Linked DNA regions of Drosophila melanogaster. The protein of the gene in region 2 interacts with the protein of the main gene of each other region in a pairwise test. Each region holds a gene or a part of one and is shown on either strand. Other genes may lie near its edges.

Region 1 (4,525 bases), on a different chromosome or scaffold from region 2:
AACCGGCTAGATTCCTCTAGAGAATTCCAAAAATAGTCATAACTTGGAATGAAAGCAAATTAGACTATATAAAATATAATAAAAATGTTAAGAATACATTAGCAATGGTATGCTTTGTTAGTTCTTATAGACACCTTCCCTATGAGTCATCCTTCTCGACTGGGACACCTGTTTCTTTAAAGGGCAATCCTTCAATGACCTTAACTCCTTTTTTCCTATTTTTAGGGCGGCGGCAATGATGCGGAAAAGCAACAAGCCCAGCAGGAGCAGATGCGCGCCCAGGAGGAAATGAAGCACTCGATATTATCCCAAGTTCTGGACCAGCAGGCCAGGGCACGACGTATGTGGATCTAGACCTTGAATATCTCTAGCTAATAACTTATAAAATATCATTTAGTTAATACCCTCAAAGTCAGCAAGCCGGAGAAGGCGCAAATGTTCGAGAACATGGTCATCCGCATGGCCCAGATGGGTCAGGTGCGTGGAAAACTTGATGACGCCCAGTTCGTCAGCATCCTCGAAAGCGTCAATGCTCAGATGCCGCAGAGCAAGTCCTCCGTGAAATACGATCGGCGGCGGGCGGCCATCGATAGCGACGACGACGAGGATTACGGCTGCTGATTCGTCCGAAATTCCGCCCAACATCTAATTTAAGTTATGCCCGCTCCTCACATCCGCTAAATCATGTTTATTACTTTTACTAACTTAAAACGAGAAACAAAACTAGATGCCCAAATACGTATGGACTTCTTTGTGTCAGATGGCGAATCTTAAAGCGTATTGGAAGTTCGTGCCAAGCGGCAATGACATACACTGACATAGGACTAGATTTGGCTTACATTTATATGCGGTAGAAAAGTGGTCTAGAGGAGGGGTGGGGTCTTCTACGACTTCTTATAGGGATTTATCATTTCATATTCTTGTATGTTCCTAGCTTTTTATGATCTTGCTCGGAAATGCACTATGAGATCATCTTATTTACTTTCTCTAACATTCACTCGCAATCAAAAGCTTTCACTAGATTCATTTTTAAGTTATCCCTTTACTCCTTCTTCTCGTGATCTTCATCGGGATCTTCTTCTGTGACCAAGCAATCGCCGCAGAAAATAGAGTACATGATGAGCGATAAGAATCCCAATGGCAGGCCGAAGATGACAGTGGTCAGCACGGGATTTCCCAGCCACATATCCCTTAATGCTCTTCGCACTTCGAACAGTGCCCGATTCAAACGTACAAAGTACGTATCTCCTCCATAGGCAATGGCACTTTCGTTGCGGATGGATTCTAGGAAAAGGTGCAGTGCCTGTGGAGTCATTTGCATTGGATCATCTTCGGGTATGAAGTGGTGTTGGGTGCTCGAATTAATCGCTATCAAGTGAGGCGTGGGCAGTTGATCCAAGATAATGGAATGTGCTATTGATGGCTCGCCAATCTGAAATGGAAATATTGATTAGCTCCAAATCGATAAAACTATGATAGAATCACTTACCCATCCAAATTGGAATTTGTCATGATATCGCGCCCTATGCTTTCTTATCACGCCCTCCACCATGTCCCGAAACTCCAGCTCATGCGTGGCTATCTGATTGAGCTTATCCTCCTGTACCACAGCCAAAACCAAGTACTTGTTTGTCTTGAGCAGCTGGTGGATGTTGAACCGAGTGACCTTTGGGAAGAGTGTGAACCTCTCCACGTTCACCCATTGGAAAACGGTTTCGTTCACTTCATTGGGGTCCATTTCGTGCGCCAAATGCCCATGCGGATAGAAGTGGTGCTGCTCTTCTTTGTAGACAATCACCGCTGGCAGTTTCTCAAAGTCAAAGTGTTGGGCAGCGATATCCTCGCTGGTGGCATAGAAAAATCCATGCTCTTGGTAACCTTCAGCTGCAGCATAGTATGTATCCCACACCACGCCCTCCTGTTGGCCTACGAAAATGAAAAATATCGTATGGGATCCCTTTAGCATGTCCACACTCTCCGTTCGCGTGACCAGCTGAACTGGAGGCCCAGACATCCTTAAGGCATAATCCACCAGCTCATCGCGACCGCGGTCTCCGTTGTAGGTGAACTCCATGTTGCCCTTGATGAACATAATGGTGGGATAGCCACGAACCTGTAAGAATTTGGGGATGCTTATAAGGAACTTGGACCAAATATGGTATATTCTCACCTTGAACTCCTTCGCCGCCGCCGGATACTTGGTACAATCTAGGCGACCCACTCGAACGTTGGTGGCATGCAAAGCCTGAGCCACCAGAGCAAAAATGGGCTCCGTTTTCTTGCAGTAGCCGCACCACGGGGCATAGAACATGACCAACCATTGGCCCTCGTGTCGCACATCGATGAACCGGTCACTGAGCTCCAAAACCTTCGAGGATAGCCCCGTCGAACCCAGAGTCAGAAGCAGAGCTGTTGGTTTTGTAAATCATTTAGCATCAGCTTGGATTTTTTCTATTGTTCGTAATTTATTTACCACTTATGAGGCCGAAAATCCACATAGAATTTGGCGACATCCTTGCAGCAGGTTTAATTTGTACTTCCAAGTGTAATTTACGTGCCCCTTATTTGCTATATCATGCTTTCCGTTATTTTAATAGCTTCTTTACTTAATTTAATTAGTTGATTGGTTTAATTTTCAGTTCCAAATTATTTTCCTTCGGACCACAGCAACAACAAAAGAAAACATTTGCAAAAACCACCCCCTTTAGACTGACCAGATGTGGAAAATATCCAAAATACTTAAGGAGATACTCTTTAGTCCAATGCGTAAATTGAACAAGTTTATTTATTAATTTTGTAGTTGTTTGGATTATGTTTTTAAAAGATTATTGAACTCAAGATTTTCATTCTACTATAACCTTAAAACTAAAATGAATTCGAAATAAAAACTAATTAAATTTTTTTATATGCATCTCTAAGAATTTATCTTTAATAATGACATAGTTAATAATTACATTTATAAAAGAATTTTTAATTTTGAAAATAAGTTTTTGAGCGGCCATAGAGCGGCTGCCTAAGGGTTAATCTGGTATATTTTTAGTCAGATGGCAACTCTTCAGCTTTGTTTACCTCACAAAATAGACTATCTGGCAACTCTTAGGCACACACGTGCATCTCCAGAGGAATTTTGTTTCAGTTGTTGTTCCTTATTTCTTCTTAACTAAATAATTGTATTAACTAAATAAAATGACGAATAATGCGAAGAAGGAACCCCAGCAAAGGGGCAAGCATCAGGTGCATAATGTGCGCTTCTACACTATAAAGCCGCGTGAAATTGTCAGCTTGGCGTATAGTAAATCGAGCAAGTGCCTCGCTCTGAGTCGGTAAATTATTGAAAATTAAAAAAAACCTAATAATTACTGTGCAGTAAACTAATAAGTACACTCTTTGCAGTGCAACACCCGTCATTGAGCTATGGAACCTGGAGCACGCCCCGTATTTGGATCGTGTAATCCACCTGCCCACCGATTCTCATGTGGAATCTATAGCCTGGGCGGGAAACCGCTTATTTTCCGTGGATTTAAGTGGTAAACTGATCGAGTGGGATGTGATTAAGCTAAAACAACGATATGAGCACTCGCCCACTGGCAATGCTCTCTGGAGTATCGATGTGAATCCCGCGGAAACGGATATTGCCATTGGCTCAGAGGAAGGGCACATCAACATCCTGAGTATTGAGAATGACGAAATCACCTATAAATCCCTATTTAACAAGCAAAAAGGTCGCGTTCTCTGCATCAAGTTTGATAAGACTGGAACTAAACTGGTGACCGGCACTGAGGGATTTGTTCGCATTTGGAACGTCCTCAAGGGAACCACTCTGCACACGATGACCCTATCCGAAAAGAACGTAATAGTTTGGTCCCTGCAGGTGCTATCCGATAATACGATTATTGCCGGTGATTCAGCGGGATTTGTTACCGTTTGGGATGCGGATAACGCGACACAGATAGATTCCACACGAGTTCTGGATAAAAACGTATTTGCCCTGGCTGTGAATAATAAGGAGGATCGATTAGTTTGCAGTGGAATGCAGCCGCCGCTCATCCGGATTTTCAGCAAAACCAAGATAAAGCGGGAAGAGTCCACCAGCGAGCGTTGGATTAAATTCCTACAGCGCGATGCCCACAAACACTATGTGAAATCCCTGTTGGTTATCGACGATCAAATTTATTCGGGAGGCAGGGATGGCATATTGACCATTACGTCCAGTGAACGAATGCAGGCACATTTGTCGCAGCATGCTCCCTTTCTGAAAGGTTCCGTAGCTTCCATGGCAATCAGTAAAAAGCTTTTGCTTTTGCGATATCCCAACAGCGTGCACCTGTGGCGCTTGGGTTCTGTGGCCCCGCAAGGCGAGGACAAGAAGAAACCCTGGGCACTGCCCGTCGGCCACACGGAGGAACAACTTCTGGAGCTGCCACCCCAGAAACTTCTCCAACTAAATGTCAAAGAGCACAACTTTATACAGTCTGCTGCCATTTCATCAGATGCAAACTGGATTTGCTACTCTACCTTAAAGGAA
Region 2 (4,771 bases):
GCATCTAGTAACGTAACCACAAATGCCATGCGATAGCTAATTAACTACTGCAAAATAGTTTCAAATACAACCTTAACAAAAGAAAACAACTCGATCGTAAATTAATTGTATTGTAACTCCCCCTCAATCTTCGTTGTGTGTGTAACAGAATACAAAGTGTAAAACATTAAACTGTAAGCTAATGGAAACAAAATCGAAACCAAAAACCAAATACAACAGCTACCGAAACAATAGCAATAGACATAAAGAGGAACGCTCCAGTCTGTCCGGAAACTGATCTTACAGCCGAATTCAGAATCCTGAGTTAGTCCTGAGCTACATATACCCCATCGGATTAAGATCAATAACTCGACAGTCGGGCGCTCCTTTCTCGGATCTTCACACGACCACACCATATAGTTGGGTATATATCAACACAATCGCGCAGCAGAATAGATATGTACGAATGTTCAACCATGTGGCAAACGATATGCGAAACAAACATTTAAACAATATTGTGCAACTTTACATAAGGCATTTATGATTTTATGAAATAAACTCTACTTAAGGATGTACTTTGCAAGTTCTTTTTTGGTTTGGGACTCTGCGATCAAATATTACATATATTTTTACATAATCGTAACCTAGGCTTTTGCTAGCTCCGCTTTTTTAACGTATTTAAGAATCCTTACAATTGTCGATGGAGTCACTCCTTGAATTCTACTAGCCGCCGCAATTGTCTGTGGCTGGATGAGCGTCAGCTTCTGTCGCTCCTCGTTGGACAAGCTTAGGGACTTTGAGAAGTAATCAATGTCGGCGGGAATGGACAGGCGCTCCTCACGCCGTACATCCTCCACATCTCGTTGCTGTTCATCGACAAAGAACGAATACAGTGCCTCTATTTTCAGCCTTTCGGCCAGATTTCGCTCGCCTTTAAGCCAGCTCAGTTCGTTGGGATGAAGATGGATTAGCTGCTCGATAGTGATGTTATCTGCTGGAATTCCCAGCATGTCGAAAGCCGATTTCTCCACCGAAGCTTTGGCCTTGGGCAGATTGAGTGCTTGTCGCCAGTAATGAGTGTGCTTCCGCAATCGCCGCAAGGACTCAATGGCCGATTGCAATCTCGCCTCGGTTTGCTGGAAGTGCTGGTAGCGATCTGAAGATACAAGTCCAAATTCGTAGCCCTTTTGTGTGAGACGCATGTCGGCATTGTCCGGACGAAGTGACAACCGAAACTCTGCCCGACTTGTAAACATGCGGTAGGGTTCATTTGTGCCTAACGAAGTCAGGTCATCGATCAACACGCCTATGTAGCCCTCAGTTCGACTTATGGTTAGTTGCCTTCCATCGCTATGCCTGGTTTTTCCAGCTGCATTGGCACCAGCTATGATGCCCTGAGCGGCTGCTTCTTCATAGCCCGTAGTTCCATTTATCTGGCCAGCAAAGAAGAGTCCTGGCACTCGTTTCGTCTCCAGTGTGGGATACAACTCACGGGGGTCTATGAAGTCGTACTCCACGCCATAACCGGGCTGGACAACTACCGCCTTTTCCAGACCTTGGATGGCATGGACCAGCTCTACTTGCTGATCGTGGGGCAGCGTGCAGGAGATTCCTTGGGGATACACTAAGGAACTGTCCAGACCTTCTGGCTCTAACCACACCTGATGTACCTTCGCGCCGAACCTCAGGATCTTGGACTCAATCGAGGGGCAGTAGCGTGGGCCGGTAATCTCCTCGGTGACATGGCGATTTACATGAAGATTGTCGCGCACAATGTCGCTGACTTTTGGTGTGGTGTAGGTAAGGTAGCAGGGTAGTTGGTCCTTGGCGGGTAGCCAAACGTCTTTGTTGAGAAAGGAGAAAGGCATAGGCGGATCATCACCTTCGTGCCTTTGGAGCTGTGAGAAATCCACACTGTCCTTTGCTATTCTAGGCGGAGTTCCAGTTTTCAGCCTCCCCATGCGAAAACCTAATCTGTCGATCGCCTCGCCCAGCGCTTTGGCTGGAGCGTCTCCAATTCGGCCGGCCGGTCGCACCTCGAGTCCGATGTTTATGTGTGCCCGCAGGAATGTTCCCGTGGTGAGTACCACGGATCGACTACGTACCACTTCTCCGTTGGCCAAAAGGACGCCGGTACAACGGCGGGCTTGGGTATCCTGTTCATCCTCTATCAGCAGGTTGTCCACAGCGGCTGCTCGAATCTCCAGATTGGGGGTGCTGTGCAGTTCCTGCTGCACAGCCTTTTTGTACAGCTGGCGATCGATCTGCGCCCTGGGCCCCCAAACAGCTGGACCGCGCCGTCTATTGAGCACCTTGTAGTGTACTCCGGAAACATCGCAGCAGCGGGCACATACGCCATCCAGGGCATCCACCTCGCGCATCAGGTGACCCTTGCCAATGCCACCGAACGACGGGTTGCAGGACATCTCGCCAATAGTCTCCAGTTTGTGGGTTAGCAGCAGGGTGCGTGATCCCATGCGAGCAGCTGCCGCCGAGGCCTCTGTTCCGGCATGTCCGCCTCCGATGACCACCACGTCGTAGATATCGGCACCGGCACTGTGGGCACTTCTCGATGGGGCCCTTATCCTTCTAGCCCAACCGTGCACCACGGCATTTCGTAGCTGCTGCATTTTCAAAACACCCCACAATAACAACAACTGGAGTTGCACAACACATGTTCTAGCGTTGTAATCGATAGTCGATATATCGATAGGGTGGCTGTGCAATGAATTGAAAGTTGGCGGCAAATTTTAAAAAACAATATTTTGGTCCGCATTAAAAGTAATAAGCTGTCTTTCATTTTATTATTGCTTTTCATAATATAATCTATTTAGATATTGCAAAATCGTCATATATTTATTTCATTTTGCTTATGTAACAATGTTTGTTTTATTTCCATTCTACTTAGAAAAAAACTTATACTAAAGCAGACCGACTAACTATTTAAAATCCATCCATCTCAGCTTTTCGTTTGCGTTTTTTCAGCTTTTGTTTTATGTCCGGCGCTTTGCCACGCACAACAGCCGCCTTTAGACGCTTCGCCGCCTTCTTCCGCTCCTGCATGCCAGCCTTTCGCTTGGCCGCCCGTTCAGGATCGTGAATCTTTTCTTGAGCCACAACCTTGCGACGCTCTGCACGGCGGGCCATCAGCTTGGTTTGCACCGCATTTCTTAGTTTGTCGTATACTTCGGCTCCGATGCGCTTCCTCAGGCGACTGCCTACACGGAGAGCTTGCTGGCGCAGTTCCGCATCCACGTTCTGATCCTCCTCAGACATTTCACGAACCAGCGCCTGGAGAAGAGAGGGTGCCAGTCGGGTCACGGACTCCACACTGAGTAGCGTGGACAGCGCCTCTATGAGCGTAAACATAGCCGTTCTCTAAAATTGAAATATGTTAAAATTAGGAAATTGTCTTGAGTTTAAAAGTCGTCATACGTACTATGCTGATGTCGTGAGGTGCCTTTGCGACTTCCTTGTTAATGAGGAAGCGTATATTGCGAATCAGCCAGGTGAGACTTATTTTGTTCACCGGCTCTCGCTCCTCTTCATCATCGTTTTTCTCCTGTTTCAGACTAAACGGAACGTCTCTCAGCATATGTCCAACGAATAACAAAATCTTCGACAGCTCGTCAATCATCTCCTGAGCAGTTTCGCCCGGCGTGACCTGAGCACACAAATCTAGCACCAATGATTTGATGTCCTCTGCAGGCTGTGCGTAAATAAAGTACAGCGCCTTCTTGGCTCCTGCTTCTAGTTTAATTCCTGACAACTGCTGACCGATATAGGCGAAATCGTAGTGGGCGACGATGTGTGTCAGGAGTTTGGCAGCATTGCAGCGCACCCAGTTGTGGTCGTGATTCAGAAGTCTCTGAGAGCCATAGGCCAAATCATCGACAGTATCAGAAAGTTGTGGATTGTTGAGTAAGGACTCTCCGCAGTGCTCGAAGATCTTCAGCAGGCAATACTGCAGTTGGATGAGCTGATGGTCAGCTTTGCGTTGCTGCTGCTCCAAAATCGATTCATTGTCTAGACCAGCTAGCAGTAAATCTTCATCCGGCAAGGTTTTGAATTTCTATAAAATTAAATTTATAAGTTTAAGAGTGATGTACATTTAGAAAATGTTATTACCTTTCGCTTATTCTTTTTGTGAAGCTCACTTTCATCCACCTCTGCTGCGAGATATCCTGGAGCCCGCACGAATCTACCTCCAGCCTCCGCATGCCCCAAAGTCAGAACGTTCACCAGAGTGGGTAGAACCAGTGGTAGCCTTTCCGCAAATCCAGCTTTCTCTGCCTCCACAAATCGTGACAGAAGAGCAGCGGCCATTTCTCGGACTCCTGGCTTCTGGCTGGACTGTGGTGCGGTGAAGAACAGTAGCGTTAGATCCAGCAAGGGCTGCCGTTCCAGTTTGGTGAGACGTCCGATCAGAGCTTCCAGAGCAGCGGCCACACTGCGTCGGCATGACGGATCCTCATCGTTGACCAGTCGAGTGCCCAGGGAAAGGTATAAAAACTCCGACTGTTTGACTAGCATAAGCTGTGGGAACTTGTTGATGATGGAGTGCATAAACTGAATAGCCGACTGACGGCCAGCGGTTTGGCTGTAGCACAACTGAACCGACATGAACTTCACAATCTGCTCAACCTTCTGGCGCAGTGTATACTCCATAATGTAGGTGAGTAGAATGCCACGACATTCATCGCGCACATAATCCGATGATGAGATAATAGATAGGTCTCCCAAACGCTTCATTAGATCGTGCAGGGATCGGGAGTCCACCTTCCGACCCACA

The links.
Region 1: the proteins of CG4610 (region 2) and Tmx3 interact in a two-hybrid assay, tested with the Drosophila melanogaster proteins (one large-scale study listed by BioGRID).

What each region holds. Positions count from the first base shown.
Region 1 is NT_037436.4:16,227,289-16,231,813, reverse strand, and holds Tmx3 (Thioredoxin-related transmembrane protein 3), read right to left. Parts: upstream 2,715-4,525; 5' UTR 2,514-2,714; coding exon 2,474-2,513; intron 2,410-2,473; coding exon 2,171-2,409; intron 2,114-2,170; coding exon 1,490-2,113; intron 1,433-1,489; coding exon 1,043-1,432; 3' UTR 675-1,042; downstream 1-674. Other genes in the region: PDCD-5 (programmed cell death 5), read left to right, coding at 226-340, 398-621; l(3)72Dn (lethal (3) 72Dn), read left to right, coding at 3,187-3,323, 3,394-4,525.
Region 2 is NT_033778.4:22,490,078-22,494,848, reverse strand, and holds CG4610 (uncharacterized protein), read right to left. Parts: upstream 2,653-4,771; 5' UTR 2,610-2,652; coding exon 624-2,609; 3' UTR 554-623; downstream 1-553. Other genes in the region: CG4554 (uncharacterized protein), read right to left, coding at 2,923-3,357, 3,419-4,051, 4,108-4,771.